Drosophila melanogaster: one gene and its partner. The protein of the gene in region 1 interacts with the protein of each later gene in a pairwise test. Each region holds a gene or a part of one and is shown in the gene's direction. Other genes may lie near its edges.

Evidence for each region.
Region 2: the proteins of CG1246 (region 1) and CPT2 interact in a two-hybrid assay, tested with the Drosophila melanogaster proteins (one large-scale study listed by BioGRID).

The regions. Positions count from the first base shown.
Region 1 is NT_037436.4:2,634,965-2,651,604, forward strand, and holds CG1246 (uncharacterized protein), read left to right. Parts: upstream 1-13,083; 5' UTR 13,084-13,181; exon of another isoform or gene 13,182-13,206; intron 13,207-13,257; exon of another isoform or gene 13,258-13,448; 5' UTR 13,449-13,567; coding exon 13,568-13,630; intron 13,631-13,699; coding exon 13,700-13,823; intron 13,824-13,891; coding exon 13,892-14,053; intron 14,054-14,107; coding exon 14,108-14,241; intron 14,242-14,292; coding exon 14,293-15,123; 3' UTR 15,124-15,226; downstream 15,227-16,640. Other genes in the region: MEP-1, read left to right, coding at 2,169-4,589, 4,651-4,908, 5,062-5,307, 5,373-5,552, 5,614-5,962, 6,048-6,052; CG14949 (uncharacterized protein), read right to left, coding at 7,449-7,923, 8,231-8,382; CG1143 (uncharacterized protein), read left to right, coding at 10,477-10,500, 10,669-11,535; ProRS-m (Prolyl-tRNA synthetase, mitochondrial), read right to left, coding at 15,227-15,996, 16,055-16,316, 16,378-16,629.
Region 2 is NT_037436.4:2,971,837-2,989,059, forward strand, and holds CPT2 (carnitine palmitoyltransferase 2), read left to right. Parts: upstream 1-9,185; 5' UTR 9,186-9,286; coding exon 9,287-10,350; intron 10,351-10,411; coding exon 10,412-11,206; intron 11,207-11,323; coding exon 11,324-11,468; 3' UTR 11,469-11,715; downstream 11,716-17,223.

The DNA.
Region 1 (16,640 bases):
ACACACGCACACATGCATAGGGCGACTTACATACGGACATACATATTTAGTTGTATGTATACATATAGATAGATATGTACGATTGTATATACCCCGGGGCCGTGGGTGCGAAAGAGAGGGACAGCGTAATCTGAAATAAGTTGGAGGAGAAAGAAGAAGCATCAGCAAAAGTATCGTGATGAGTATACAGTTTAAGACGCTAGTGTGTGTGCTAGTATGAGTGAGTGTGTTGGTGAGAGGGGTGCGGCGGCGGGGGAGTTGCAATTTGCCATATTTATCTGCGATATTTAAAGCCATCTAGACTTTTTCGCGCGCTCTGTTTGAATTTCCGCACATGCCGATTCGCATAAATCCATCAAAGTAAAACCGGCGACAAGCAATGCCGTTTCAGTTTTGTTTTGTTCATTTCGTTCGTGGCGCGCGTACAATTGTCAAATTTGTTTTCCCTCCCATTCCACGCCATTCCATTCATGCACACACACACACATGCACAAAGGCCCATGTGTGCGGGCCATGCGCTTCACACGCTTATTCGCTATTTTTGAGAGGCGTTCAAGTGAAAGAGAGCCCTCTCCATAGCCGGCAATGTAAAAGCTATTACCGTTACTAGAGAAGGAAAATGAGCGAAAATATGAATTAAATTAAAAATTAATTGCGAAATCAGCAATTGGCACCTTTGGGTGGCTCACTATCGATGGCCGGTAATCGATAACCGATAAGCCGTGCAACCCTGCGCGCGCCCTGCTGTTCGTTGCAACTCTGTTTTTGCTTTTTCCGCCTCACACATTTCCAGTTTGCCTTGCCTGCTTGTTCGTTCCTCGTCTCTTGTGTCTCCGCCTTCGGCGTTCTTTCTGCTCAGTTTTTTTTCTCCAATTAAAAAAACCCCACGCAAAATTTTCGGATTTTCCCTGGTTATTTCGTAAAGAAAACGATCTTTCATTTATTGGCAGCTCTGTTTTTTGTTTATTGTGATCAAGGGACCAAAAGGGAGGCGAAACAAAACAACAACCTGCCGATTGTGAGGGGAAAATGTGAATGTAAGTGCCGCCAAGTAACAAAAACAATGCTAAATGCCGCTGAAAATCGTCTTTAGTTTGAAAGAAACCTAGAATATTGAAAAGTAAGGTGAGATCCAACATAGCAGCAGAAAAAACACACACACATACGCAAGCAAGCGCGGCACACACACGCACACAGGGACAAACACTAGCGCAAAAACACGCTCCTGTACCAAAAAGTACAACAACAACACCAGCAACAACAGCGGTAGTATACTCCACCACGCCGCCAGCCGAGCAACAAAAACAACTACAAAAAATAAAGCTAAAGCCAAACGTCGTCATCCGTGCCGCCCCCCGCCCTGCGTCCCTCCCCCTGTGCTTACAAGCGTACAAATATATATGTGCCGTATATATAGATTGTATATTTGTGTGTGCAGGCGGTGTGTGTGCGTTTGTGTCTGTATGTATGTCAATCGTTTTGTTGGCTCTGCTCGGTAACTGTTCGTTTGTACATACAAACATTTCACATAAACATATATAAATATATGTTTAATATATATTTATAGGCAAGTGTGTTAATACCAAAGTATATAAATTGCATATATCGCCAAACCATAACTCCCCCCCCCGTTTCTGCATTCTCTTTTTTCTTGCAGTGTAAAGCCATTTACATACTTACATTACATATTAAATTGTATTTTAGTTTTAATCCAATATGGCAGCCATTTTGTATCAAACCATTCTTTCAACTTCCCCCGCTCCCCTTGCCCTACCGCTGCTGCCCTGTTTTTGGTCCGCCTTTTCTTGAGTTCACCTTCTTAATTCACCTAGATTTTCAAATATTTTTCGGTGATTGTTAATTTTTCGCCTCGCCTCGCCCCTTCGCCGTCCTCTTTCTGCAGTTTTAGCTCTTTTTATTTTTACTCTTCGCCCGCTGCGCTTTGTGCTGCTCATTCGTTGCTTTTTGATACTTTAGTTTTCTTTTACGTGCCAATTTTTCCGGTTGGTCTTAAGAAGAAGCTGCCATTAAGTAAAATTAAGTAAAAATTTAAATTCCCAACTCAGTTTTGATAATTCTTCAATTTTATTGTGTCTCTTGCAGAAACACAAACAGCTGGAAGAAAAACCGACTTGGGCACATTCCACGGAGCAGAGAACGGACCTCAAATGACTGAAGTTGATGTCGTTTTGCCGGAGGGCGTGGCCGAGCCCACGACAAAGCTTGCCAGCGCATCAAGTTCCCCAAAACAGAGTAAACCATCAGCAGATGATGTTGAGCAGCAGGTCACAACTGTGGAGGACGATGAAGAGCAGGTGGTCGAGGAGCAGCAGGAGGAAGATGTGCACTTGCCGGAGGCCCCCTCCAATGAAAAGCTCGAGCTGCTTTCCGCGGGCGGCAAGGATATCAGTAAAGAGGATGTTGCCCAGGCATCTCCACAAGCTCCAGTGGCCGACGAGATAATGGAGGTGGACGGGACCGAAGACGTGGAGGAAAACGAAGTGGAGAACGACGACGAAGACTCACAGATTACCAGCAGCAGCTCGAAGGAGCCAAAACTGGATGAAGAAGACGAGGAGGCTACCACAAACGGAGATGGAGATCACGAGCCAGAGGACGAAGACGATGCCCAAAAGATCGGTAGCACAGCGGAAAACAGCTGCGAGGCCGAAGATCCCCTGGGAGCAGTCACAGTTCCTGACGATGAACTGGCCAGCGGGAAGAAAGCGCACCTAGATGGCGAGGAGAGCGTAGCTAGCGAAGGGGTCGTCGAGGAAGAGCCCCCAGCAAAGCAGGAGAATGGGTTTGGGGCCAGTCCCAACCAGAAGGAGAACGGCCAAGCCAGCATAGCAGAGGCCAGGGCGGCAATAGCTCCCTCCGATGGTGGTGTGGTTAACCTGGATGAGGATAGTGACGAGGAAATGGAGGATATTACGGAGCACAAGGAGCCGGCCAAGCCCACCGAAAAGGCAGCCAAACCGGCTTCCTCTAGTGGTGGTGAATCCTCCGACGATGCTGTTCTGATAGCCTCCGATTCGGATACGGAATCCGCAGCTCCACCGCCGCCAGTAAAGAAGCTCCCGCCAGTTGTCAAGGCCATCCCGCCCCCGCCCGTGCAGGATGATGAGGATGATGATGATGACGACGACTGCGTCGTGATTGAAGATGACACACCGCTAAGTATTTCGCCCAGCGGCAAGCGCAAGAGCGACCTAGATGACCTGCAGCTGCAACAGCCCAGCCACAAGAGACAGCGAAGTTCGACGCCCTCGGGAATGGGCCAGCTGACCATTAAGGATGCCCGCTCGTTGATGCCTCTCGATGGCAGTCCGAGCTCTGTGTCGGGTCCCCGAGATTCTATCTACCCGGTGACCATAACGAATGCTGTGACGGGAGCGGCCACCAATCTGGGTGTTGTGCCGCCTAAGCTAGTTCCCATGGCGGGCGGCATGAGCGCCAGTCCAGTGCAGCTGAATCCGCCAACGTTATCGCTTACCGGGCTGCCCAGCATGACCAACAACGCCAACCTGCTGCCCGGTCTCACTGACGACATGTTTGTCCTGGAAGCGCCCTCCTTCATTGTACCCTACATCTATGAAAAGCCACCACGCGAAAACATCTGCGAGGTCGTCAAAGCAATTGAGACCAAGTATGCGCTGTCGGCTGAGGATTTGGCCGAGGCAGACAAGGGCGACGAGTTCGACATGATGACCGAGCAAAACAAAGAGGACAAGCCAGCGGATCAGGCCGATGAAAGCGGCAAAAAGAAAAAGAAAAAGCGAGGTGACGACGAGTCCTGGTCGGAGCAGTCTGACGATGATGACGACGAAGACGACGACGACGACTCGGAGTCGGGCGTACGGACTAAGGTGCTGATCAAGGAGGCAAACGATGACCTGAGCGCCTTGAAGGTGGCCATCAAGCCCGCCGCTGCCTTGGCAACAGCGGGCGGAGTGTCGGTAAACAATCCGGGCGGCAACAAGCCAGGACAGGAGAACTACTTTGAGAGTCCGTTGGGCAAGTTCTTCATGGACATTGGCGTGGGTCTGGTGCAGGAGTACGTGCAGTCGGATCTGCTGCGTCTGCAGAAGCGCAAGATGCGCAAGGCGCAGGTGCAAAATTCCAAGGAGTTTGAAATGGCCATCAATGCGCTCTCTGGCAACCTGCAGGCATCCAAGACGAAAAACGCGCCCTTCAAGTTCCGGATGAAGCGATGCGAGTTCTGCAACTTTAAGTCGGAGTCTGCCATGGCGATGGCTAATCACTACGAGACGCCGCACATGAACGGAGTGCTGTACAAGTGTAACTTCTGCACGTTTGAGATACGGAACGCCACGGAGATTGTCTACCACATGGAGGCTGTGCACAACATAAAGGCGCGCCTTATAAAGCCACTGCCCTACCACCAGTGTCCCAACTGCGGCTTTGAGGATAATGGCAAGGCAAAGCTGGCCCGACATCAGCCCGTCTGCGCTAAGAAGTTCCGGCCGGAGCTTAACCTGGCGCCGCCAAACGACTGGGAGGCACCGGCTAAGATACCGCGCATTAAGCCTCGTCATGGTCTTGTGGGCACTGCCACCGCCTATCAGGTAGGAATATCTACACCTAAGTCTTTTGCAATAAGTTTATAATCGGTTTAATCCCTTCCAGGCTATGGCAGCACAGGCGGCGGCACAAAAGGCCGCTTTGGCCAACATCCAGCAGCAGCAAGCGGCGGCGCAGGCGAGGAATAACCTCCAGGCAGCCGCGTTAGCTGCCCAGAATGCGGCCAAGATGCGTCAGCGAGCCCCGCAGCCACCCAAACAGAACATAGTGCGAAATCCGGCGCCTGTGCGCGGAGGCAACGCGATGAATGCGGGACTCTCGTTACCCAACAGCTATCAGCTGGCAGCCGGACAGCTTGTCCAGGTAAACTACATTTATACGCTCTATAATCTACATTAAATTATTTAAACATTGGAATTGGGTTTTAAAGGGTATATGTGTAGCATGTTTAGCTGTACCAAAATAGACTCTCCCATTAAAAACCGGTTTTAATCGAATATCGATCTATTTATACAGGCATCCAAGAAGCCGATGGCCGGACAGCCCAGCATCTCGATAACGCCATTACCTCGTCAGAGCTCGGTGGGCGCCGGTGCGGGTGCCTCGTCCAGCAAAGCGCCCCAAGCGGCAGCAGGAATGAAGCCCGGCCAGAGTCCCAGCGGTAACAATAAGGCGCAATTTGTTATTTGCGAGATCTGCGATGGCTACATCAAGGATCTGGAGCAGCTGCGCAACCACATGCAGTGGATGCACAAAGTGAAGGTAGAGCTGAGTTTCCATTTTCCCCGATTTTCCCCTTTGCTAACAAATGCTTTGTTTTGCAACAGATTCACCCCAAGATGATCTACAATAGGCCGCCTTTGAATTGCCAAAAGTGCCAGTTCCGGTTCTTTACGGATCAGGGATTGGAGCGACACTTGCTGGGCTCACATGGCTTGGTCACAAGTTCCATGCAGGAGGCTGCCAACAAGGGCAAGGATGCTGGTCGCTGTCCGGTCTGTGGAAGGGTGAGTTTTTCGTATAAATGGACGATGAAAACAATGTCTAAAATCGCCGCTCTCCCTTTAGATGTACCAATGGAAGCTGCTGAATCACGTGTCGCGCGATCATCATATGACCCTGAAGCCCGCTCACCTGTCCTACAAGTGTACCGTTTGCACGGCGACCTTCGGCATGTACAAACAGTTTGAGACGCACGTTTACACCGCCCACAGTACCGTGGCCAGAAAAGCGATGGACAGCAAGAAGAACAGTGCGCAGTCCAGCGGGTCGGGATCTGGGGCAGGGATGTCGCGCAGTTCGCTGGGAGCGGCCAATGACTCTCTGTTGAAGCCGCTTAAGATCAACGATGAGATCACCATCATACCACAGCCCGCATCGAAGCCACGCATCACAAATATGGAGAGTCATGTCATAGGTACGTGATTTTCCAGATCAATGGATTGAAAATGTTTAGAGTAACATTATGATAATATTTTAATAATTTGTTTTTGTCTTTGCAGATTAAAGAGCATGTTGGATCAACCAAAAACCTAATCTCGCAACGTTTGCAGCATTGACAGCGCTTTAACATTAGTTTCGTTTTTAAGCCGAACGCGACATTGGCGCCTCACGGTCCCGCTCCTTTACTTCTGTAAGTCGGATGTCGGTATGCAGAACAAGAAAATAATCAGAAATTGGGGCGGATGGTGAGGGAAAAGCAGAGTGGCAAAAGCCGTCGCCGTTGAAGCCGTTGACCACCTGACCTGATAAAACGAGGGACAAGCCAGCGTCACTTGCTGCGGCTACAGGATACGCGATACACATAACGCTAACGGCATAGATTCACTAGAGATACTAGTTACGGATTTTAGTTACATACGTTTTGGAGTGTGCACATAAGTTGAAGTTGTAGCTACTACTAAAATATACCACATACATACATATATATTTAACTATATTTAAAGCATATTATGAAGAAGCCGCCAGAGCGCATCGTCAGCATGATGACTATGTAAATTAGTTAAAAACTAAACTATTTATACGAGAACTACGAGTATCCAAATGTGTGTTGCAGTATGTATATACATTTTGAAAAGGTCCCCGCCCCGCAGATAGATGACGTGCCTCGCTTCGTTCTTCTCTCGAATCTTCTAGCTTATTTGTACGAACAGTCATGATGATGATGAGGCAGAGAGGAGGAAGTTGCATGAAGCGAAGCGTGGGGGGGAAGGACTCTTCTAAACTGATCTGAGAGACGACGAGACGTTCGACATTTTAATTTTTGTGTACAAGTTTAAACTTATATTTATATTACACATTATCTATTAATATTAAAATATATATCATCTATTACCACCTAAGATCCCCATGTACTACAGTTATAATGCAAAACCACACACACACAACCAACCAACCAACCAACCAACCAAGCAAGCAAACAACAACAAACAAACTGAAAATGAGAAAATTAAAAACTTAGTTAATATAAAATGCTACGACCAGAGCAGATTTTCATTGCACCTCAAGGGGCTCCAGCCGGGCCTCCGACTTTGCTCAACTCCACCATCCGCCGACGTCAGAGGTGAGAAGTGATGGAAATGCTTTTAGCATTCGCCACTCACATGACTATGACCACCTCGCACAATCCGAAGACCAGATAACACCAGTTGGAAAGAAGAGAGACGCCTCATTTACCTAGCACTAATGCGAAATTTATTTTTACTTTGCCATAGAAAAGTGAAATTCCAACCTTGTGATGTGACCACGGCAATGTTGCCGATCTCTTGTCCTCGTCCAGTCTTTTCTAGCACTGTAGGTACTTAAGTGTGAAGCCATAAAACTAAGTAGATCTAGAGTATACGTATTTATAGATTGCTTGGAGAGCAACGCACTGCATCACGATGAGATTCCGCGGAGTAAGCCTAATCCTCGGGTTCCGTCTGGGGCACCTCGTTATCGGCAGCTGGGTTCACTGGCACCGACTGGCCAATTTGCGACGATGGCGGGAACAACTGGGCCGCGTGCGTGAGCTTGGCCAGCGCATCCTGATCCAGAATCTGTGGCTTGTCCGCGGCACTGGTGTTCGATCTGCTCAGTTGATAGAAGGCGGTGTCGCTGTGCGTGATGTTCACAATGCTTCCGGTCAGGGGAAGGGTTTCTAGGAGTTCCTGGGGGCTGCTGAAGGCTCCCAGATTCACGGGTGCGATGCCGGTCAGCACTTGACCGGTGACATTGGTCTGGATGGGCAGCGGGATGTTGCCCAGGTCAATGTGACTCTTGTTGCTGTGCGTGTCGTAGAAGGTCAGATCCACGCGTTCCTGGCTCTCAAAACTGGTGTCATTCTCGCCCACCTCCGTCAGGATGCCGATCTCATAGACCACCGCCTTGACCACATAGCTGGAAGGAAAAGAAGAAACGATTAGAAGACTTTCTACGTGACCAAAAATATATTAATTAGTTAATTCTGGTGATTTCTACGTCATTTTCTACATATATGTATTGTTTCAATTAGCACAATTTATTTTAAGGTAAGAATACAAAGTAATATGCGTGGAAATATTATGACTATACTAACTACTAATATTGAATTTTTCTAACAATCTTTTCAAGTTTATAATATATCACTTATTTGTTACTACTTTTATTAGATATTCTGGCTATAAGAGTTCCAACTATTGGATATAACTATCCTTTCTAGACTTACAGATTCTTGGGCGTATCGTTGACGCTGGCCCTCAGCTCCTCGATGGTGGCGTTGTCGATGCCTGAACTGGCATCCAAAACGGGCAGGGAACAGCCGATGGCCAACAGCATGCCGAGCACGGCGGCTCCAAACACAGCCTGGTGGACCTGCATCTTAAGGTTTAGGCTTTTTGGGGCTAAGGGAATACGGCCTGCTGCTGTAGCTCTGCTGGGATAGTGGCTCCGGTGGCTCGCCTGACTTTCGCGCGTTTAAAGTTAATTAGTGCAGATCGGAGCGCTTTTATAGCGACTGTGCCGCTGGAGCTTCGGCCGCGTCCGCTGGCGAGGCGCGATTCCGCGTAATTATCGGCATCTGTTAATTGCCCGACGGGTTTGCCACTCTCCGGGGTCTGCGTCGCCGGTTTCTAGGCGCGGATTCGGACCTGGCTTCCGTTTCGGCTGGACTGACGATTGTTTTCGAGCGGCCCAGACTCTAATTAATTGTGCTCGTTTTGGGAGCGTGTCCCAGGGACTGTCCCCCAGTCGGATCCCCACCAATATTGATCATTGGCAAGGGCTGTCTACGCAATTCTCGCGCCGTTGTTTACTCCTCGGCTCTGGCCAAAAATAAGCCCATAAACATTGCACCTCCGGTGACGCATTTGTCGGGATCATTGCATGTGGTCTGGACACGCGCCCGTCTACTAAGATTATTTCACATTAAGCATACGCCCCGTATGACGTACACTTGTGCCTCGATCGCAGAATATCAAGATCGTTTGCATTTGATATGCAATGTGAGAGTTTTATTCATCACATGCCAAGCTTCTTTCAATTTGAATCTTTCTCCAAATCACGCATACGCCTTGTGTGGTAGTAAAATATTATTCTTGTATGAAATGTGAAATGGCTATAATTCTTTGATTCGTTATTTCATAGTATAATAAGTTTACTGCGGTTTTAATCAAGGTACTTTGTACAATTTAGGCATGAGAACTTTAGAATTTGAAAGTACCAATATTTCGTTGACTCAGGCCGAGAACTAGAGAGCAGATGTGGAGATATTGCGCACATCCCCCGCCGAATGCCTCATAGATTCATAATTAAATTAAAAATTTGTGATTTTTATAATTCGCCGAGTTATCGAGTTAACCCACACTAGAGTTAACCGCCTAAAGCCGCCCATACTCCGGCATAACCAGCCAGATCTTGACTTTCATTCATGATTGGCCGGATTCTGCGTTTTTTTTGGTCGCCAGTCTTTCTCCCGCAAATCGGAGGCACAGTGAACGGTTTGCGGTTTTACGATATGGAGGCAAATCGATTTCCAGGCGCGTTTCTTTAACAAGTTTTCACCTCTGCATGGACCTTTGTTTCAGCGGAAAATTTTTGAAATTAATTTGCACATTTCGCATATCAACTTTGTGCCCCGGTGATCTCATGGCGACCGCTCTAATTATGAAGTGTTAAAGAGGCGCAGTTGTAATTGGAACAAAGTGCACTCATCCCAGGGATGTAAAAGTATCTCGAAGATACATACATATTCCGAAAATAATTTGCGGTCTCTCTTTCTGTGCGCTTGTTTTGGCCTTTCAACGTCTTCAGACTGATCTTGTTTTTATTTTGATCGGCTTCTTGGAAATTTAATTTTAGTAAATATATGTTAATTTGCGCAATTAAGACAATCAAACTTGGACTTAACAGCGCCGCTCTAAGATGTGTTTTTAAAACTCCTGGGTCACATCATGTAAGTCCTTGGAATATATTTAAACTAATTGATACAAATTTGAGTGATGAAGGCTCAAAATATTATCATTAATTTGAAAGAGGAGTTATATTTTGATGAAGATGTGTTAACTAGATAGAAGGATTATGCGCTGAGTATGATTTATCTCACTTGAAAACTACACTCATTGCATTCCTATATTTTAGATCTGAGGAATGGTCCAGTGTTCCAGAGATTTTTTTACAGTGTCGAATAAGTGAAGCTGGACAACAAACAGAACACGGACGAATGACAAGTAGAATTGGTTTGGGCCCAAACATTGAGGGAGTAGCACGCGCAGGCACCAAAACAAGTTCGGCAAACCAAGCGATTAATGTGCTAACTGAACGTTATAATAAAGCTTAGTCGCAACTTTCAGTCGGCGGTTAGGCGGGCGCCGAAAAACTTTAAAAACTCACCGTCCACTGGGCTGTAAACTTATTTCCGATCTGAGCTTGGAGCTGAACACAACCAACCGGACCAAAGCAGCAGTAGCAGTGGCCATGAAGTGCACGTTGCTAACCACCGTGAGTGAAGATCTTTCAAGGACTTTAAGATATGAACTTAATCACTGTGGTTACACCAAAGAAACTACGGAATGTCCACCTAGTTGAGAATTGAGAATTATAATATTAAAGCTCAGTCATGTTGTTGCTGAACTTATCTAATTGTTCACTTTTCTACTTATGTTTTAGTTGCTGGCGACCCTGGCGGCTTCTTCGTTGGCCGCACCCTTCGATTTGGGTGATATCTTCTCGGGCTTTCAGCCGCTGGAGAAACAGGATGTGGTCAAGCGGCAGGTGCAGGCCAATCCCGATGCCGAGCTGAAGCAGATCTCTTTCCACGGCCTGATCGGAGATCTGGAGGACAGTCTGTTCACGTCCGCCTTGAGTCTGCACCAGGCCAGTGCGCCGGGCAGCGAGGTGGAAGAGGTGAAGCCCGAATCCCCGGCTGCGATCACTGAGGACGAGGAGCACGCGCTGACCAAGCGATCCGATGAGTCCACGCCGGCCACAGCTGACGATGGCCTGGCACGCAAGATTCTGCTGCAGACCACCAGGAAGGTGCCCGATGGGGAGGATGGTGTACCCGCCCACTTGATTATCGATCATGTGTCCGTGCAGCCACACAATGGTGGTGCCCTGCCACTGATTCCCACCTTCCAGGTGCACCACACCAAGCTGATCTCGGCCACCATCAAGGAGGACTCGAATAACGACAGCAGCGATGGCAAGCAGACCAAGATTAGCATCACCAAAACATCGATTACGTCCACGGCGCCAATTGAGAGTGTAGAGGAGGCGGTGGCCCTGGCTGGATCTGTGACAAACACCGAGGAAGCCACCACCAAGGTGGAGACGACCACAAAGGCTGTCGAGAAGGAGGAGGCTGACAAGAGCTCCACCACTATCCTGACCATTGTGAGCAGCTCCACCCCCACCACCACCACCACCACCACCACGGAGGAGCCCATTCAGAAGCTGAAGAAGGACGAGGAGAAGTTGAAGGAGAAGGTGGCCGAGGTGGAGGCCGATCCCGTCATTCTCTCGGCTCGCGTTTAAGCCGGTCGACCTCTGAACTCTCTAGCTGTAAACCTCATCTCCAACTCATCCCGCCACTCGAATATTTATGACACGCCAAGTTCAATTAAAGTCATGTGATCTGATCAGATCCGAAGTCTCTTTATTTGCATTTCCAATTCACACGCTGCGGGAAGTGATGAACTGGGTGGCCAGGTCTACCCGGGGATCTCTGCCAAAATTGAGGCTCTAATTGCTCGGATAAGCACAGGCCCTAATGAAGCTAGCGGTTCATCCAGGCATGAACGATATATCCGAAACCTTCCCAGAATCTCCGGTGGGAAAAAACTCACGACGTATGCAAATATTTCGCTTCCAAGCAAATAATACTGTATGTTCTCTCAAAGCGTGTTGCAAATGTGGACTGCAATTGGGTTAATAAAACATTGCCAAATTGTTGGAGCCCGCGAACTATCCAATCGATGTGTTTATATATGGCCCAAAGTGTTAATCAGCTTCAGCCCGATGACCAATGTCATTAGTCAACGAATTGCGAATCAATTGTTTGCACTTTGATTAAAAAAAATTGTGGAGAAAGCGGCATGAGGTTTTGTTTATTGCTGATATGGCCAAATACTTTTCAAATCAACGACCCTAATTATCTTACAATAGATAATATTTCTCAAGCATTTATACGACGGAGGTTGTAAATAAATAAGTAATGCACAATTGAAGGGTGTGAATTTGTGTTATAGAAAAATGTTATTTCCGTTCTTTATCTTATGTTTGCAAATTTATTGTTGACTTTTATTAGGCAGCTTTTGAGAATGTTTATAGAGATTAAACTCTTAAACAGCCAAATCATACAAAAAACTATTTTTACCTATTTCTATTTAAATAATCTACTACCAATTTCCAGAAGCCCATTATTGTGATAGAAACCATATTATTATATTATACAAATGGTATAATTCAATTGAATTGCAAGGTGTGAATATGTTTTATTGAGTAAACTTTAATTTCCCAGTGGCAGCATGTACAAAGAGTAAACAAGGTTTATCAAAACAATTACCGCTGCATGTAGTTTTTGAGGTGCTTCTTTGGGTGTATTATGAATCAGTTCTGATAAAGAAAACCCCCGATGCCCAATCAATCACTTACAACTTATAAAGACGATAGCCAAAGCACACGAGTCACATAACTGAGTGTCAAATATCAAGTATACGCAGCGTGCGCGTCCAACTTGATATGTCAGTCACTTGTCGTTCCGATAAACTCGCCATCAGCTGTGAGTTAAAATTTAGTTCCTGCTAACTGGTGGGACACCTTTATTTGTTTACCCGACTAGGGGCTGGTTCGCCTATATTTACAAATGATAAACCTAAAAGCTCGTTGATAACGCACTCAATTTGTATTACAAAATAAGAAAGATATTTGCACTCAGCGCAGCTATTGTGCAACTGCGGGTCACAATCTGGGGTAGTCACCTATCCGTTCTGGTGCTTTTGATAACAGGTGTAACCCTTAAATTCATTAGGTTTATCTTATCGCTTTGGAAGAGCGAAGCATTTGGAGACCCAGAGTCGATGGCCATTCGATGGAAGAGCTCAGTCCAAAGGAGGCAGCCGGCGAACGCGTTTTGCCTACCATATTCCACCTCCGAGAAAGCCGCGAATTCAATTCCAACGGTGAGATAACGATTTGTGATTTGGCGTGAGTGTGTTTCCGTTGTTTGTGGCCAACATTGCGTATACTTTATTGTAGTGACGACAGCGTAATTTCCCTTTGTGATTCATCCAATCTAATGATAAGTCTGTTGTCCTCAAGTGTGGCAAGGAAAGAGCTAGGAATGATTGAGCTATCCTGATTCCATATGCAAAATCCACCAAAAAACTAATCAAGCTGATTAGATAGACCTCGCATTGACGAATTGTAATTTCAAATTGAATTTATAGCCCCAAAGCGTGCGTTGTCTTATCGAGTAGGCAATTGGCTGGCCCAGCGATCACAGGTTGCACAACCCATTACCCGGAATAGCAAAAATCCCGCGCCGAAGGAATAGCACTCCATCAAGATGGCCGGCATGGGCACTGGATTTTCCAAGTGCTTTATACTCTTCATGGCAATTGTCATACTCGTGAGTGCCATAAAGATTGCTCAACATTCCAATTGCGCTAGTCAGTAACATCATTGATATATATTTTAGGTCCAGGGAGTTGCCTACTTGGGCTTGTCCATCTGGGGCATCACCTTCCGAGATTGTCCGGATGGCGTTACTGATTTCAGCGAAAATCCCTTCAAGTACGCCATGGAGCTCATTTACTTTGCACGTGAGTATGGGTTTGTTTCAAAGGTTTCACAGAACGCTATTGCAACATATTATTCAATTGCGCTACAGAGGAGGAATGTGGTGAGCCGGTGCTGAAGGTGGCAGACGAACAATTTAGTTTGAACATAGATTGGCAGACGTCCTATGCCATTACCAACCGGGAGTTCATCTTCATGATAACCTACGCAGTTATTAGCGGAGTCTGGGTAGCCACTTCGGTGTTGGTAATAAGTGAGTTATGCAAAAAGCCATTTAGTTTTTATAATAACTCAAGATCCACTCCAGCCACTTTGTGCAATCGCACCACCAAGCTGATCTCCGGAGTGGTCTATTGGCCCTGGTTCCTATCCGTGCTAGCTGGCAGTATCCTAGATGTGGTGGCCACGGTGTATCATGGAATCGACATAAGTCATACAACGGTATGGTAAACTATGTTCCAGTCTTCATAAATTATAATTCTTACATTTTAGTCCATGAAAGATGCACTTGATTACATTGGAGTCTCATATAGCGAAATTGTTAGTAATGTCTGGACTCTAATGGAGCCCTTCGGCGTATACTTCTCGACGCCATCGATTCTTCTACTGTGCCTCACAAGTCGCGTAGCCATCATCTGGCTGCTGAACATCATTGGAGTTACCTTCTGTCTCTCGTTGTCCGGAATCATGGCGGAGCAGAATGCGAAATCAGCCGCCTTGAGCAGGAGCCAGGCTCCCACCCGACAGCCGACACCACAGCCTGCGGTGGCATTAGTCCAGCCGGTGGTGGAGGCCACGCTAGTGGAATCCATTCAGCCTTCGGCCCCGCAAGAGAGCCCTCAATATCCGGAGCAGATCCGACCCAAGCCGCTGCCCATTTTCATTCCCTCGGAGCAGGGTGCCCAGCGTCCAAACTCCCAGCAGTTCGCACCCGGAGATCGCACCACTTTGCAATCGCCGGTGATGGTGCTACCACCACAAGTTCCTCAGCAGAGAGATGTTGTGTCCCCGCAGCCTGACATCAACACCTATCGCACCACCGAGGCTCATCCCGACCACCTCAACTATCCACCTTCGGAGCCACAAACTCCACGTGCTCCTTCGCCGGCTGTCCAACAACTGGCGGTGACGTCGCCACTAAACAATCGCTACAGCGAGATATATCCTGCTCCCGTAAATCCCCGCGTTAGCGAAGAGCTGCGCAACCAGATGCCTTGGTCGTACACCAGCATGGTGACTAAGCCACCACCGCCGCCACGCAAGCCACAACTTCAAGTACAGATCTACCCGCAGATTCCGGAACCCGACTACGCGGATCACTAGTCATTATAGTAGTGCACGCTGCTCGGGCGTTGATTTGCGTTTAATCAGTCTGGATGCGCGGTTGTAAAAAGTTGTGTGTTATTGTTACCTTTATTGCATAAAGCTAAAGCTGATGGCCAACCGATCGACTTTTACTTTCTTCAGTTTCACTCTGAAAACATCCTCGTTCTAGACTCTTTTTGTGCTGGCTATGTTCTGCCACCAGTTTCAGGGTTTCACTGAAATCGAGCTCATATGTTTCTCCTTTGCTGGTGTGCACTTCCAGCTTGGGGGAATCCAGACGGGCTGACTTGGCTCCCACTACAATCGTAAGCGGATGTCCGAGACGCTTGGCTTCCAGCAAACGTTTGCCGATAGTCAGCTCCTTGCGATCATCATGCAACAACTCCTGGTGGCCGCAAATCTCTCCTACATTCAGAAGAAGTTCATTCTCTATCACTTCCGCTTCCGGCTGTTCCTTGCTTCCTTGCTTGGGTCCTATTAAACACACATCGTAGGGTGCTAGGAGCTTTGGCCAACGGAGTTCGTGGTCGGAGGAGAGGACTTCCAGAGCGGCAGCAATAACCCTAGTGATGCCAATACCATAACAGCCCATGACCAGCGATTGCGGCTTGCCAGTGGTGTTGAGAAAAGTGGCGCCCAAGGGTTTGGAGTACTTGTCCCCCAACAGGAAGGTGTGGGCCACCTCAACTCCTCGAACTTCTTTCAAATCCGAGCTGTTACAGCTCGGACAGCTAGCTGGGGCCTTTACAACCTCAGAGTTGCCAGCAAAGCCGCAGGAACTGCACTGCAGTAGGTTGTCCTCGCCCACGGGCGATACATAATGGTATTCGTGGGATACACTGCCACCCATTATGCCAGTGGCGGCATTCACTGTAAATGAAATCTATGTTAGTAATGCAGTTTTTTTCGGTACGGAAATTATATTTACCCTTAACGAAAGGAACCTCCAGCTGTTTGAACAACCTATCGTATGCAGCATTAACTAGTGTGTAAGTTTCCATGGCTGTTTCTTCGCTGACATCAAAGGAATACATGTCCTTCATTAGGAATTCCTTGGCTCGCATCAAACCAAATCGAGTCTTAAGCTCATCCCTGAACTTGGGACCGATTTGGAAGAGTCTCAAGGGCAGCTGCCGATAGGAAATAGGTGAGGTGGTGGCCAGCATGGCAGTCACTGCCTCCTCGTGGGTCTAATCAATGAAATAAGTGTTTATTGGAATCGGAAATGAAGAAAACTGCTCACTCTCTCACTGGACTCATGAGGAACTGCTTGCCGCTGCGATCCCGCACCATGTAGAACTCGGATATATCGCCGTCCAGTCGCCCCGTCTTCTTCCAAAGTCCTGTGGGCGTCAGGATGGGCAGGGTGATCTTCTGCCCACCAGCCTGTTGCATGTTGCTTTGGACCAAGTCAATGCACTTGTCTACCGATCGCTGGGCCATGGGCATTATCTGGTAGGTGCCATTGCTGCCCGATTTTACCAAGCCAAGTTCTGTCAGCAGCTGGAATGTTT
Region 2 (17,223 bases), 330 kb from region 1:
AAATTAACCAGAATGAGACTAGACTTGGAGGAGTTTGAATTCACAGTAGAATATCTCAAGGGGAAAGATAATCATGTCGCAGACGCATTGTCCCGAATAACAATCGGAGAACTTAAAGCAATAAATAGACAGATACTAAAGGTAACAACAAGATCAACAACAAGACAGAAAAATACCTGCGCAGGTGAAAAATTGCATGAACCAAATGAGAAAGAAAATATAAAAATGCCCAATATCTATCAGGTAATCAATAACATTGATGCCAAAAAATATGTTATACTCAAAATAGACAAGCATAAGTGTTTGTTGAAAAGAGGAAAACAAATTATAACACGTTTTGATATGACTAATTTTTATTCTAATGAAATAATCGATTTAGATCAATTCTTTCAAAGGCTTAATGAAGAAGCAAGAATAAATAGCATCATTCAAACACAATTGTCACCAAGTGAACAAATCTTCGAATTTGTCACTATAAAGAATTTTAAAGAAAAGGGCAATAAAATACTAAAAAATTTAAAAATAGCGCTATTAAACAAGGTGACTAAGATAGATAAAAATGATAAGGTTCAAATAAAAGCAATACTGTCTAAATATCATGATGATCCATCAGAAGGAGGCCATTCAGGAATTTCTAGAACCCTGAGGAAAATAAAAAACTATTATTATTGGCCACAAATGACAAAGGCAATAAGTAAATATGTTAAAACATGTTTAAAATGTCAACAAGCCAAGACTACAAAACATACTAAAACACCGTTGACAATAACAGAAACGCCAGCAACAGCATTTGATAAAGTTTTGATAGATACCATTGGTCCACTGCCAAGATCAGAAAACGGAAATGAGTATGCTGTTACTATCATTTGCGATTTAACAAAATATTTGGTAACGGTACCAATTCCAAATAAAAGTGCAAAATCAGTTGCTAAGGCTATATTCGAAAATTTTATTCTAAAGTACGGTCCAATGAAAACAATCATAACGGACATGGGAACGGAATATAAAAACCAAATTATAGACGACCTATGCAAATATATGAAGATAAAAAACATTACTTCAACAGCACACCATCACCAGACATTAGGAACAATAGAACGAAGTCACAGAACTTTCAACGAGTATGTTCGCTCATATATATCTGTTGACAAAACCGATTGGGATATATGGATACAATATTTTACTTATTGTTTCAACACAACACCATCGGTAGTTCATGAATATTGTCCATATGAATTAGTATTTGGAAGATTACCAAGACAGTTCATAGATTTTAACAGGATAGACAGAATAGATCCTATTTACAACATGGATGACTATTCAAAAGAAGTTAAGCTACGATTAGAAATAGCATATAGAAGAGCTAAAAATATGTTAGACAAGGCAAAAGCCGATAGAAAGATAAAATATGATAGAAATATTAGTAACTTTGAATTAAAGATAGGAGATAAGATATTACTTAAAAACGAAACGGGTCATAAACTTGACAATAATTATTTAGGACCATATTTAGTTTCAGAAATAGGAGATAATGACAACATTACAATTATAGGAAATAAAAATAAAAAACAGATAGTCCATAAAGATAGGTTAAAAATTTTTAATTCATAATACATTTTGTTTGGTTGGCCAACCACAAATAAAAAACCACAAATAAAAAACCACAAATAAAATAAAAACCAATAAAAACATTATAATACAAAACTTTTACTTTGCAAAATATAATGAAAATATATATATTTTTTTAATATCTCTTTAATCATTCATTTCAAATATTAATGTACATTTAAAAAAAAAAAAAAAAAAATTATTATATACTTGAAAATAACTTCATGTTATTACGTTATTTTTCAAAAGGAGGGAGATGTAGTATATACGAACATAATAACAATAATAATAACAATAATAATAATAATATTAATAATAATTATAATATGAATCATAATAATAAGTCGACTAATAAGTAAACTTAGGACCACCCTAATTCCTTAGGGTCACCCTAGTAGATCTTTAGATACACCCTAATACTAAATATGCGAATTCAGCATGTACGCCTTTAGGGGTCGCACTCGACTCCCATTGGTTATCGAGTATGAACTTCATACATACATATTGCAGAATTTGCTAGTGTCAGCACTTGGCTGTCACAAGAGATCTGCCTGTAGACCACACTAAGATCAGATATAAATCAGGAATAGATCTGGAATGTACGCTCGCTTAAAGGAAACCAAATAAAGATTGCAATGACCAACTGCGTTTTGAGACTTTATTAACTACATCAGAAGTATTGGAATTCTAATTAACTACAATATATTGTTGTACTTTTTGCTAAAATATAAACTTGGTTTTATTATTATGTGCTTATTAACTAGAAACTTCTGTTTTAATGTCAACAATAGATTTTTTGATTTTTAGGATTTGTACATAAAAAAGTTAATTTTTTTATTAAGCATTTTTTCATTCTACGTGTTCGCTTCAATTGAGCAGACAGTTTTGCGGCTGTAGGCACTTTCCATGGGCGGCTGTGGAAAGTGTGGCTTCAACTTTTCCGGGGAGAAATTTAATTTGCTGCACTTTAAGCTGCAGGCGCCACTTTGGCGCTTTTCTTTTTCCTTTGCAGTTTTCACGATTTTCCATTCTTTTTTTTTCTGACTCCTCCGCGGGCAGCATTTCATTTTATTCAGTCGCTGGTGTGGTTCGCGAGTTTTCTTGCAATTTCTTTTTTAATTTCGCTCAAGTTAGTCATGCGAAATGGCACTTGATGCTCCTTGGTTATGCGTGTATATGGGCATCCTTAAGCAAGTGTGTGTGTGTGTATGTGTGTGCGTAACTGTGTCTGTGTCTGCGTGCCACTCCGCACATTCGTTTGAGTTCCATGGGAATTAACGCTAAGCTGCAGGATCCATCTCCTTCGCCATTCCTTCTTTGGCTGCCGCCCTCTGCAACTCCCGTTTTCCCGCCTCCGCCGACTTTTCCGCTTTTCCTCCTCGCGCATTTGCAGTGCAAATGAAGAGCAAAATGGCAACTACAATAAGGATAAGGACAGCGGCAGCAACAGTCAATTGTTGTTCTTAACTCGGTGGCAACAAGAAGGTAATGCAAATACTTTTGCCATCTCCATGGCAGACGCACACAAAAACACTTGCCACTTTATGCGATATGCCACGCCCCCTTCTATAACTTGTGTTTACGCAGAGAAGGGCGTTCTGAATTTTGAGAATATAATTTAAAGAAGTTTGAATACGAAAGCTTTTAGGGGATAATCGTATGTTCGCTGTTTACAAATTGAATCGTCCCTTTTTTATAAGCAGTTTATGATTTACAATCTAACGCTGGAATGTCCAAAAACGTATTAAAAAAATTTTACAACCTAAAATATGCCAAGCTTTTAATATAGAATGTTTTAGTTGAATAACACTAGAATGCTAGCAAAAAGTGACCTTCGCTGCCACTTTGATGCCAAAAAGCATTTTCATGTTGCCTCAAAATGAAGGCTGCAATGGCCAAAAAGTTGCCTTTAAGTAGCGGTTGCTATTCTGTGCCATGCATCAGTCACAATTTTAGCAGATCGTCACTTTTAAGCTTTAATTCTGAAATTGTTTTTAAAACGAAAAATAAGCTTAAGCAAAGCAAATTTATTAAATAAAGCAAACAAGGCCTTGTTGGATGCTAATTTTTTTTACACCTGTAGAACACAATACTGTCTGGAATTCAAATCACTGTTCTGCACACGCTTGACTGCACTAAACACTGTTGAACTTATTGCCCAGCATTCCGTTTAACCGGATTGATTGCTGTCTTAAGGGTAAACCTGTGTCTATATACATACATAGTCCTGAGCGAGTTGAGTTGACAACTGCCGAGGCGAAGCAATTTGCATTCTGTGCGCGGCCAAAAGATCCGGCATTCCGACGTGTGTAAGTGGATGCTGCTAGCCTGCAATCTCGGAGTCAATGCAAATGCAGTAAGTAAATGCAGAGTAAATGCAGAGTAAATGCAGCAGCGTCTGTGCCGGCGGTAAATATGCAAATAAATGCATGGGACCGGCCAAGTGCAATCACGTGCCCTCGCAAAAATGCAACTGCGACAGGATCCAGAGTCCTGCCATCCTTGGCATACATAATTCAGTGCCATAGCCACTCGGTTGTCTTCCCTTTTTGTACTGTTTTGTTTGATTGCATTTCAATTTGCAGGGTCTTTCTTTTCGATTTTCCACCCACGCGGAAATTAAGCTGCAATCGAATGGACACAGAATACACTAGTGTTTTTTTTATATAAATACCAATTTACCACAGTTCGTGCCTAGATCTGATTTGCATATATTTCCATTTCGGCACAGGAAGTAAGGTAATTTAATGGACAACAGTACTGAAATATTGAAATATGTGTAAACAAAATATGACAGCTTTTCATTGTGAAACTATTGAATAATTAAAGGTTGTCAAGGGAATATAAACATTATTAAAAATTACAAATGAAGAATGTGTCGTATGTTTTAGCAATTTCGTTCTATTGCGTATTCAACTTAATTCCATTTGATTGCTAAATGCTCTTTTTGCAGCCATATAAATTCCATTAGAACTCGCATTTGAACAAATGGTTGGGCCATTCAAAAACCAGCCGCAATAACAATTTTCGAAAATGGCCCTTCAAAAAGAATCAAACTTTGTTTGAACTCCCGTAAATCCGTCCGTCTGCCTTTGGCTTCCACTCAATTGAACATTTTCGGCTCTGGCAAATGAAAATCGCTTCAAAAATGTTCGCAATTGCAGTGCCCGGCCATTGGGATTCGTTTACAAACGGATTCCTACCCCCACATGTCCTCTGATATCACGAAATCCTCGCAGAGGGACAAGGCTGACGTCATGTCCGCATTTTTCACGAAATTAAGAGCGGATATGGGGGAAAATATTGCAAAAATAATTCAAAATATTTTGAGTGATCAACGAAGAACCGCGAATAAATAACAACAGCATGACGCAGGCCTGTGGAAATATTTTCCTTTTTGCTCGGTGACGCAAATAGTGGACCGTTTTCTGCTATTTTTAGCGGAAGGTCCGGCGCCTGTTTTCATAATTTATGTGAACTTGATTTATTTGTGCGCATTTCCGCTCATTTCGATTCCATTACGATTGCTGCTCCCTGGCTATTCCCAATCCCCATAAACCCCCATTCCGCCTGATTAATGGTCGTCAGCACGACATGTGAAAAGTGTTGCCTACTTCTAGGGACCTGTTAATTGCCGACCATAAAATTGGCCAAAACGTGCGCCGGCACGCGAACTAACTGCTGCTCGTCCTGCGCGAGGGGAAATCAAACAATTCAATCTGCTCGCAATTGCTGAGAACAGGATGAAGGCCAAGTCCTCTGGACTCTGGACGTGGCCTAACGAGGAGCACAAGGCTCACTCAGCCAGGGAAAATTAAATTTACAACAAACAACATCAGTTACATGTCGTCATGGCGGGACTGGAGCCTAAGGGCCAGGAGCAGGAATCAGCAGGAATTTGGGATCAGGGGTCAGGGAATCGGTGACTGAAACTTACACTTTAAAAAACAAGTAGCCCTATAATGTAGAACCATCCTGATGCATGTTATTTTAGACCTGTTATGGCTATCCTTGGCGCCGAAGGTCCTTCGATTTTCTGGATATTTTTAAAGCATATATTTTCCAAGTGCACAAAATGAGAACGATAGGCAGGAGTTCACATGTCGGCGGCGCTTCCTTTGGGCGAGTCCTGAGACCTGGCGTTGCCTTTATAGCAATTTAATGTGTTCTTGTAGCCGTTGTTTCACTCTTGTGAAAAATGATTTCGCTTTGCTCCACGCCAAAGCCAAAAAAAGCATATAAAATAGAGGAAAAAAAAAACGAAGCTAGCAATTTGTCTGGCCTTCTAGGAAAATCATCACAATGGCGGTTGTTTAGTGGGCGGAATCCCAGACTTGGCTTTTTGCAAAAGTTAAGGAATTTCGCGTGGATTTACATACATGCGTGCTATTACACATATTTAGTAATTGGTATACCCATTATTTTTATTTTTTTTTTTGTGTGTTTTGGGCCTTGATTTTGAAGAAGGCGTTTCGCCTTCATTACTTTATTTTCGTAGCTCCTTAAACGATTTGGGATTGTGTTGGCATTGCTTTGCTAAGGGTCTTTAAGGTCTGTTTAAATGGCAGTAAAACTACTCGACAATTTCATACAAGCTGATTAATAATATTCACTATCACACTTTATTAAGGCAACCAAGATTTATAGATGCCCACGTTTCCAAACATTTTCCCAGCATTCCACAATGCCCCCGTATATATGCATGCCACACCCAAGAATATCAATAAACTTTGTGGCCAGCAGCTATTGATTGCTGGTGACATTGAACCTTGACATTGCTGCCTGGGAAAAGGATTCCCCAGCGATTGTTCCTGTGGCATATTAATTATGCTGCTGGCCATCGTGGCTCGTGGCTGATCATAAATTAATGGCTCGGGTTCAGTGTCCCTAAAATTGCAGCAATTATCTGCATTATTTTCTTGGGGCATGCCAGGCAATTATGAAAATTAACATGTTTGTGCACAATAGCACACAAGAGCCGCAAACTGTGGCAGCAAAAAGCTTTTACATATTCATCAGCCTACGATGTCTTCAAGGTCTCAAAAAGTGGGTGGAATCCTGTGTATTTCGTCGGTTTTCGGCGTGTGGGTTTTGACTTAATCTGCTTGCTTTATTTGTCATGCACGTACAGGTTGGTGAATTAAATTTGAATTCCCCCCACCGCGCCTGCCTGCGGGGAAACAACTCGGGAAAAACAAGAGCAAATTTCCCAGACTTTCCACAGCATGCCGTCCTTGTTTCCCAGCTTCGTCGTTTTTGCTTATATTTTGGCTACATTTGATTTAGCTTTTTAATCCGCCTGCAATGTGCACTACTCTGAAAAGTATTCAATAAATTGAAATTAAAATAAGGCATTGCTAGTGTGTGGCAGAATAATAAATAAATCCTAATTAGTAAGCACAATTAACTTTTAGTATGTGCTTATTGGAATGTATTGCAATAAAAATAAAAGAACACATGTTATATAAATTGCACTAAATAATGGTTAGGCTATCCTTATGCCTATTTAAATATTTTAAAGGTAGCATAAACTCCAACACCTCGACCATCGCATTCCCATTCTACAGTGCAACCTCCTACAGTGAGGCCTGAGTTATTGCCTCCATTTCTTTGGGGCTGTCAACGCGGCCATTTGAGAGCTATCTCCGTTCTTCATGGCCATGTCAATGATTTGCTCGACTGGAATGCGGCATTTTTGCTGAGCCATCTATGCAAATCTCCGTTTGTCCGAAGGTCGACCAAACCCAAACCCAAGCCCATTTGCCATTGTCATCATGGGGCAAATGGAATTTGCCAGTTAACTCTTCCATCTGGTCACCTCGTGCTTTTGCCTGATTTTTACGCAGTTGTCAACCCGTCGAAAGCGACTTATTCGCCACACCTTTCAGGTGCAGAAAGACAGGAAGGAAGGAAGGATTCGAATCTGGATCCCCAGTCACGCTGTGCGTGCTAGAATGGTCAACAGTTTTATTGTCCGGCAAAGGACTCTGGAAACAAATGTTGATTTCTGCGCACAGAAAAGAAAAGGATTTTTTAGAGGTTTTTTATGTGTTTTCGCATCTGGCGGCGACAGTTGAAATTTTATACTACCGTTGGTTGTTAATGAGTGTCGAGATTGTATGCTTTTTAAACACATTCAAGGGTCCTTGAATAGATTTTGTTATTAACGGCGAAAAAAGTGGAAAAAATATGTCACAAAAGAGCGCCTTTAAATCTAACTTTGTGTTTACATTTTATATCAAAAACATTAATTCAATCTGTGCTAGTATGCAACATATTTCATTTAATTTTATTTATTTATTTTTCTTTCCAATTGAAGTCCTTTATCCCACCAGTTATTTAAAGTCGCAGTTGGTCTTTAAAATGCGCGGGGCAATGGCAAAGCAATTACCCATCGATTTGTTCGATTCGGAGGCGCTCAAGTGCTTAAGCGTCCTTTCACCTTTTTGGCAATGGCATCCTGGCGATTTTGGTCCGTGGATAAACAGCGTTTTGTTTGCATTTGCGTGGCGTTTATTTGTTTGCCCGCTGTTGATGTCTGCTGGTCGAGGAGCTTGGAGCTTGGACGACGAGGGTTTCCCGGGGAAGAAACAGATCTTCGGAGGGGTCAGGACATCTTGCAGACGTGGTGGGTCAAAGGCTCCTGCGGGTATTCCAACCGGTCACTGTTCCCAGGTAAGTCGGAAAAAACACAAATGGTTTACTTAAATTACGGGGCTAAGAAAGAAATGAAAATGCGCATAAAATTTTTATACTTTGTCGAATTTCACGAGCGTTCCTTCCCATCGATTCATCTGTGCACTTTGCAGTCGACGCTTGCGGAATAAAATCCACTGCCCCTCAATTCCTCAAATTAAGTAAAGTGAGTAGGGGAATCCCCTTTTCCATTTAAATTTGCATAAGAGGCATCGGCGAAAGCGGATGAGGATGCGGATGGGTTGCAGTGTAATTGGGCGAAGTGAAATTGCGTTAATATTTAACAAGCCAGCGAAAGTGCAAAAGCGAAGCGCATTAAATGCGGAAAAGGGATACGGAAACGTAGTCCTTCGGGGCAAAGTGCGAAATTATGCGGAGTTCAGGGAGATCCGCAAGCCCTTTCCTTTGCGAGCACGGACCTCAAATGTTAAATGTTAGCCATAAGGTCAGCCAAATGTGAAACTCGAGCCGTGAAAGCGAAATGTTTGACCGCGAAGAGCAGCGCTGATTTTGAGTGGTAATTTCATTTCTCATTATCGTCGTTATGGTAATTCAATAAAATCATGACAATTCAAAATTTCGTGCCCGGCATGCGATTGGAATCTGATTATTGCAAATTCAATTTATAGTGCTATAAATATAAAAAATTTACAAAAGATATTAAACATGAATTTTAACCCATATAATATAGTACAGTTATACATAATAATAATAAAATCCGCAAAGATCTATTTATCGTAAATTTCAAACATATACGATATTCAAATATTTTGGCGCCATTACAGGTACTGAAAAATACCAAAAATACCGTAAGGTAACTATCGATGACGGCGATCAGCTGTGATCATCAATGGCGAACAGCTGATCTGGCTCGCGAATTTTCATCTTGTTGTTGGACTTTCTGTTGTGGACTTTGAAACGTCGCCTCTCGAGTTTAAACAACAAAAGTTACTCAATTTGGAAAGCCATCGAGTGGATAGCCATGTTTCGGACCCGGGTGCACCGCAATCTGTCGTGGATATCGACGAACTCGTCGAGGACAACGACCACTCATGGCCAGCACTACCAATACCTGCAATGTTCCAAGCTGCCAACGCTGTACTTTCAGCGCTCCTTGCCGCGATTGCCCATTCCTCTGTTGGAGAACAGCTGTCGGCGTTTCCTGGAGGCCACCAAGCCACTACTCTCGCCGGCGGAGCAGGCGCAGACCCAGCAAACGGTGGAACAGTTTCGCCAGGGGATCGGCATGGAACTACACGCGAAACTCAAGAGCCATGATGCAGAGAACAAGCATACCAGCTACATCTCGCAGCCCTGGTTCGACATGTATCTAGCCGATCGAGCGCCCCTGCCACTCAACTATAATCCGCTGCTGGTGATGAAAAGCGACGCGCGACCGGAGTACCAGCAACAGGTGGTTAGGGCTACCAACCTGATCATCAGCTCGTTACGGTTCTGGCGATCTCTGCAGGCGGATCTCCTGGAGCCGGAGGTGTACCACATGAACGCCAAGAAGAGCGACACTTCCAGCTACCGCAGGTGGATGAAGGTGGCTCCCAAAGCCTTTGCCACCTACGCGTCTTATGCCTTCAAGGCCTTTCCGCTGGACATGAGCCAGTACAACCGGTTGTTTGGCACCTCTAGGATTCCTAGGATCGGCAAGGACGAGCTGGTCCAGTCACCGGACGCCAAGCACATTCTGGTTATGCGCCGCGGTCACATGTACGCCGTAAATGTGCTGGACTCCAGTGGATACATCGAGAGTCCCAGTGTGATTCTGGGCAGACTAAGGGCTGTGCTTAAGCTTGATGCAGATCGCGAGGCAGCCAGCGTGCCACTTGGTGTTCTGACCTCCGGACAGCGTGATGAGTGGGCCAAGACAAGACAGCATTTTGTTAGCAACACCAAAAATGCCGATCTTCTGGAGAGAGAGGTGGATGCGGCTCTGTTCTGCGTTTGTCTGGATGGCGAAGAAGATGGAGTCTTTAACGAAAACCAGCAGGAGCCGCTGCTCAAGCATTTGCTGGCGGGAAAAGCGCAGAATCGGTAAGAAGTCGACATTATGTAAAGCCTGCCTGATTCACAAAATCATCCTGTTCTGTTACAGTTGGTTCGACAAATCCATTTCCCTGCTTATAAGTGCAGATGGAACAACGGCTATTAACTTCGAGCACTCGTGGGGCGATGGAGTGGCTGTGCTTCGCTACTTTAACGAGCTCTACAAGGATACTTTGAAGCAGCCGTTTGTATCCACGGAGACAGTGCACACTCCCGCCGAAGGCGATTTTAGCAACGTGCGGCCCATCAACTTCGAAATCGACGATGCCACCAAGTCGGCCGTTTCGGAGGCTTATAATAAAAACGCCAGCATTGTAGATAATCTGGACATGAATGTGCTGAAGTACCCACACATCAACAAGCCCACATGCAAGCAGTATGGCCTAAGTCCGGACTCCATCATTCAGCTGTCCTTCCAGCTGGCTTATCGCCAAGCCTACAGCGGCTATGTGGGCAGCTACGAATCCTGCAGCACATCCGCCTTCCGACACGGACGTACCGAAACGATGCGACCGTGCACAAATGCCACACGGGACTTCTGTGAAGCTATCCTCCAGCCGGAGAGGAGCAAGCCCAGCGCCGGAGAACTACGAGCAATGATCGACAATTGCAGCAAGGTGCATGGCCAGTTAACCAAGGAGGCGGCTATGGGCCAGGGCTTCGATCGGCATCTCTTTGCCCTTCGGCACACGGCCCAAAAGGAGGGAATACCAATTCCCGATCTCTATGAGACTGAGGCTTACAAGCGCATTAATAACAACATCATTAGTACCTCAACACTGGGTTCAGATGCCCTGCTAGCGGGTTCCTTTGGTCCGGTGGTCAAGAATGGCTTCGGAATCGGGTAAGCTGACTGCCTGTCGAGATTGGGTATTTGAATGTACAAATGCAGCACCTATTTTTCAAGTTGCCTCGACAAATTGTTCACTAGCTGACAGTTGATAACCCATTATTCTTTCAGCTATTCGATTCAGAACGATTTTGCCGGCGCCATTGTCACCACGTACAAAAACCAGGCCGATGGGAAGGTGTTCATAGACAGTCTGGAATCGGCATTTGATAAAATTTGCGCTGTCATCCAGCAGAGCAGCAGTAGCAAGAAGTAGGAGAAAATCGTGAGGAGTCCGACCCCGAATCCAATGAATATGGCTTTAACGTAACAGGGAGATTTATTTTGATGCTTTTACATTGTATCCCATGTGTCTGAATTGCAATATCTTTATCTACAATTTATAGATTATACACTGAAAACATTCTACCCCATCTAAAGCATCTGTGTCTTTGCTTTTATACCCGCTGCTTTAATGGCTTTTGCGGCTGATGGGATAATAAATTGGCTAACATATTGTTGGGATGCTGCTGGCTTGACATTTGCAATTGAATACGAGAAATAACTCACGTTTTAAAACAATGCTGAAAACAACTTTAAAGTAAAGAGTTTAAGAAGTTTATATTAAAATTGAACATAGAGTTATGATAAACGAGCTGAAGTAAAATCGAATAAGAGCGGTTGAAAGCATTTAAGATTATTTTGCGTAAGAAAATGTTTTTTTTTTAAGAAAACATCTTTCGATCCTTTGTTTTCCTAAGTAAAATCAACACACAGAACGATGTATGGCACAAACCCTTTTGAGTTGGTTTAACTATTGAGTCTCCTTTTAAGCATGCGTAAACTTTGACCTTTCATTGTCACTTAAGTTAAACAAGATGTGTGCCCACGCACACCCTGTTCCCAACTTGTTTATCCCGGAATAAGTGGGGGAAAAACCCTTGCATTAAACAGTTTCTGATTAAAGATTTCCCACACGCTGACCCAGAAAACTTGGCCACCAACCCTTCGGGCCAAGTTGTTGCCTTTCGATTTGTGTCAGCCGCACACGTCAATCGCGAACTCCGCCTAAACATGGCGAAAAGTTTATCAAAACGTTGCCTTTTTGGCTGGGAATGGGGATGTCGCTAAATGTGCTGACGTTATCAGTTGATTTATCGTCAAATTTTGTGCCAACTGGCGTGGCGTTGTAAAAATTAATTAACTTGCTCGCCGAGTCTTCCTGATACGTACACGATTCCGCCTTAATGGGCGGCATTAAAAATTAAAAAAGGAGACATTTACGCGGCGGAGAGGTCATTAAAGCCAAGTAGACTCTTCTGCCAGTGGCGGACAATTAAAAACATATTAAACTGACGTGCTGGAAAGGATGTGCATGTGGATGTGGCTGTGGCTGTGGATGCGCAGTCTGTGTGTGCGAGGATGTGGGTCGATGATAAATGGGCGGTCGCCAGGATTTAATATTGCGCATACGCCGCCGACGCCCGGCAGCTCATTAAATTATTCAAAAATGGGACTCCACTGCCCGTCCGTCCAGCTGGCTACATAGTTGTGGCATTATATGTATCCTAGTACATCATCCTGTTGGTCCATTGTGCTGCGGCATGCGACATGTGGCTGCGATAAAATGTCCTGACGTGAATCGCCTGCTGATGAGTTTCGGACTCAGAGCGCCGTTTAACTTTCCACTTCTTAATCAAAATTGCGTTGAAAGTCAAAAGGTTCGAGAAAGGCCAGGCTGGAAATCAATAATTGTTCTCCTAATTGAATATTAATATTTAATTTTCGCTTTCTCGCTGTGTTAAAGAACGCATCATTAGGCCGGGCATCTGTTGCCAAACTTATCCTGGGCAAGGGCTGCCCGCAAATTGATTTATGGCCGGGTGGTGGATACCCCGCTGGATTTAAGCACTTGTCTTTTGTTCGTGGCAGGCAGCTTCAATTTGCGGCAACAATAATATTTGTTCGACCACAGCAACCGCACGACCGCAAGGCTGTTAGCAACTTCTCAGTGTCCCAGACCACCAGCCGCAGTGCGTATGCGTAATCTTGGTCAAGCTATTGCCGCATGTTAATGCACTCGGGCCAAAAGACAAGCCGCACTTCCGCACCACGGGCTAATGAGCAATTAATATGGAAATCAGTTTTGGCCATTACAAGGTGCCTGGCCAATTATGTTGCGAACTGGTCCGAATTAATGGCCAGGTCATGTGGGAACGTGTCTGGAAATTACAACTGCCCGTTGGTCATACGGTCCTCCGGAGTTAGATTTTATGCTCCAATTTGTAATGAGTTACTAGAGTCCTTTGATACAGGTACTCGGATGTGCTCTGTATTCAGTTGGCAATTGTCATGACTAAAATTAAGCTGACCGTAATTTGGTTAAGGTAACTCGGCTAAAAGTACTCAAGTGTTGGTAGCCAACAACAACGTTTAAATAATTACCAGTTTTTCTCCCCCTTATTTTCAATAAAGGATCATAGTCTTAAAGGCTCTCGAATATCAAAGTGTCAGCTACTGGAAACGACGTCTTAAGCCCAGCCGCAATTTTTCGGGGCGAGCTTCCTTGTGTAATTAACATCAGATTTATGAGCAATTCATGGAAAATGTCTGCACAGGTGTCTGAAAAAGTACTTGAAACTCAATTCAAGCAGCTCGTGCTTGTGTTAAGCATTCAAGTTAATTGGTTTTGCCGCAGGACATTTGGTGAGACATGAGCGCAAACAATGAGCTGGTCCTATAAATGCCAAAAGCAATGCGGAATAATCATTTCTAATTGCCGGTAATTATTTACAAAATTAACAAATAGTCAATGAGCCAGCAGCGGAAACGAAAGCCAAAGGAAAATTAGCAAAACAAAATGGGTGAAAATATATTTCTTTTGGGAAAAACTAGAAAAAGAAATGCGCCAAAATGAGGTAAAAACTATTTGAGTTCGTTTTCTGGCTATTGATTCACCTTCCGATGGTTGGATGTTAGCCAGTTTTTCCGAGAGAGGAAAACAAAGAATTCAACTTGAGGTAGTCGGAAATTGGGTACATTTGTTTATAAACATTTTGGTAAACAAAGGCAATTTGAAAAAAGCCGAACGATAGATAAAAGTAAATAAATGTGGGGAGAAAAACAATTTTATAGTTACACATTATTTCGACTTGGGCAAAGAAAAAAGAAATAAAAGCACAACTTATAAACATTCAAACTTTTGGCAGCTACTTTGAATATATAAGAAGCGAAAATCAAAAGTGATTGGTAATGTTTATGACATTAGCAGGTAATTAATTGCATGGAAACGCAAACAGAATAAATTCGGAAATTTTCATAATAATTAAACGGAAACTGTTCTTGGATTGTGTGGACATTGGGTGAACATTGTTATAATTTTGTAGGGACTTACTTGTATATGAACAATTTTAATTGGATGTGTAGTATTTATTTTAGAAAAATAAAAATCAAAAGAAAGTCCATAAGTCGGCAACATTTGAGTATAAACACACCGCTTAGCGTCATGTGGCCAAGACACTTGTTGTGTGCGCCGTTGCGGGATAAATGCAAATGTTTAGGGACACGGCCAACGGCGCGTATGAGTCATTTTTAATTAAGATGTCAGTCACACAATGGTCCTTAGGCTCGTGCCCTATCTGCCCGGCAACTGGAGCATATACGTATCTGCCGCATCCTGGACGATTAACCCCATACAACCACGTGGCAGCCAAGGGGCCAAGTCAATTAACTTGAGGCACAAAGCCGGCCATTGTTGCGCAACTCGAGTCAGGACGAGTCTATTGTGCCTCGTCACACATGTGGCATACTTGTTTACATTTCCACATGCCCGGTGCCACAGTTTTATTATCATCGTGGGCTCATCACTCAGTGAAACTTGAGTTCTATTCGCTGGAGCCAAGGAAGCGGAAGTCACGCACCCAAGGATGTGCCCCACCTCCTCCCTGGCGGAGGTTAATTCAATTTACTGCCTCGTATGCCTCAAATTTTTGTGATTGTCTCGGTACACACACGTCCAATTGGAGCAGCCATTCGGAAATGCAATTTACCACCAAACGCGAAAAAGTTTTGAATACTTCTGTCCGCCCCGAAACACTCGCGCATTGGCGCCAAAAAGTTTCACAATTCACTGGGGCGAAAATGCTCAGAGCTCAATGCTCCAGCCGGAAGGATCTGGCTCATAGAGTATTCATGAAATTTTAGTTGCCATTTGCTTATGCCCACACCCTGTGATTTAAAGCTTTGCGTGGCATTTGAGATACTTTGCTTTCTTGATTTTATTGGATTTAAAACGCAATAAATACAAATTTTTGAAACCAGCTAAGCTTACTTCAGTTATTATTTACTACAACACGAAAACATAATGAATTAAATACATTTCATGATTTTTAAGTATAAAGAGCTTAAAGATTGTACATCTTTAGTTCATTCCACTGACTTCCAAATGCTTTACGCAGTATTACTAACTTGACAATTCATCCCTGAGTTTCCACCCAAGCTATATATAGTTTCATGTATTTGAGACCACAGCAACCGAGCGCCAACTTCAAAGCAACATTTGATTTATGGACAATGGAAATGTCTGAGCCCAAGACCAGGCGACAGCCAAATGGGAGTTGGCTTCGAGCAGAAGTTATGATAGCCCGAAGCGACTCCACCATTTCCCCCCGTCAAGTGCGTAACTTTCCATTTGGAGCACGGCTATATAGAGAAAAATTTTGCAATTACGTCTAGTGAATTATTTACAGTGCAATCTTACTTGATCCTGCCATACTTAACTACGAAAAAATCGTACTATGCAGCTGAATAGTTAAATATATCGTTAAGAATTAAATTATGAAATTTCTGCGCTCATCATGGCAATATTTTTCCGCAGTGTATCCGGCTGAGTTGCACGTAGAACACTCACATTCTCGTTGGCTTGCCAACTTTACGGCCGATGAATGGAAGGGGGCGTGGTCCCGGGGCTGTGGGCCGGCGAATAAACAAAAAACACATTGACCTCGCCCAAGAATATTGCAAGCCATGCAATAATTCTGCTACTGGCCTTTATGAGGCAGTTGTGTTTCGTCTGGCCGGGATTTCATTACTCCAGTGTATCCTTTATAAAAGGGAATGCCTGGCACCCTCGAAAACTAACCAAACGTGCGGAAGTCACATTTTCTCGAAGGTGAGGGGTGGTGGGTATCTGGGTCAAGTGTCTCATATTTCATTGTAGTAATTACATTTCGCTTTGCCTCTGGCTGCGTTTTACCCAGAGATCTGGAATTTCAAACGTTTTGGCCTTGTCAAGCTGGGAAAATGTGATTTTGCCATCGCTCAGTGCAATGGAAATGCAGCTGACAGGGAAAATATGAATAGTGGTGGTGCTGGTGGTGGTGGGGGTGGTGCCGATGGGAATTGATTTTACAACCGCGGCGACCGAAATCCGCAAACATTTTCGCATCGAAGTCACAATTGCCACACACTCGTGCCGCGAGTATATTGACCTTCGGTCCGAAGGACCCTCCTCTGGCCACGTCATCATCGACTTCCTCTGCTGGCCAAGAAAATAGGGACTAGCATGTTTTCGCCATAAAGCAGCAAAGCGGTTATTCCTGTAAGCCATCAACAACCCAACCCCCACTTCCCCATCACGAGCTATGCCATTGTTGTCGTCTAAACTCGCTGGCAAGTGATGTGTGCAAAGTGGAGATGACGCATACGCCCCGTCCGCCGCTCGCGAAACAAGGCCAGCTGCAGCTAAATGTTGCAGGCAATTAACCGTTTAATTTGAAGGCAGTGCCTAACCCGTTTTGGAAAACGGAAAATTTAATTTCAAGAAAGCTAATCAAGGGCTTCAACTCAAAATCGTGCACAGCAGGAAAACAGGACCGTAGGTTAACTTAAAAACGGCTTCAGGCTCATCATACTTAAGTTTGTTTTGTTTATCAAACTAATCTATAGTGCTCCATAATGTTTTTTTTTAATAATTATTAATGCTTTAATGGCTTTGCTGACTGTTATTTATTAACCCCGCAAAATTCAGTGGC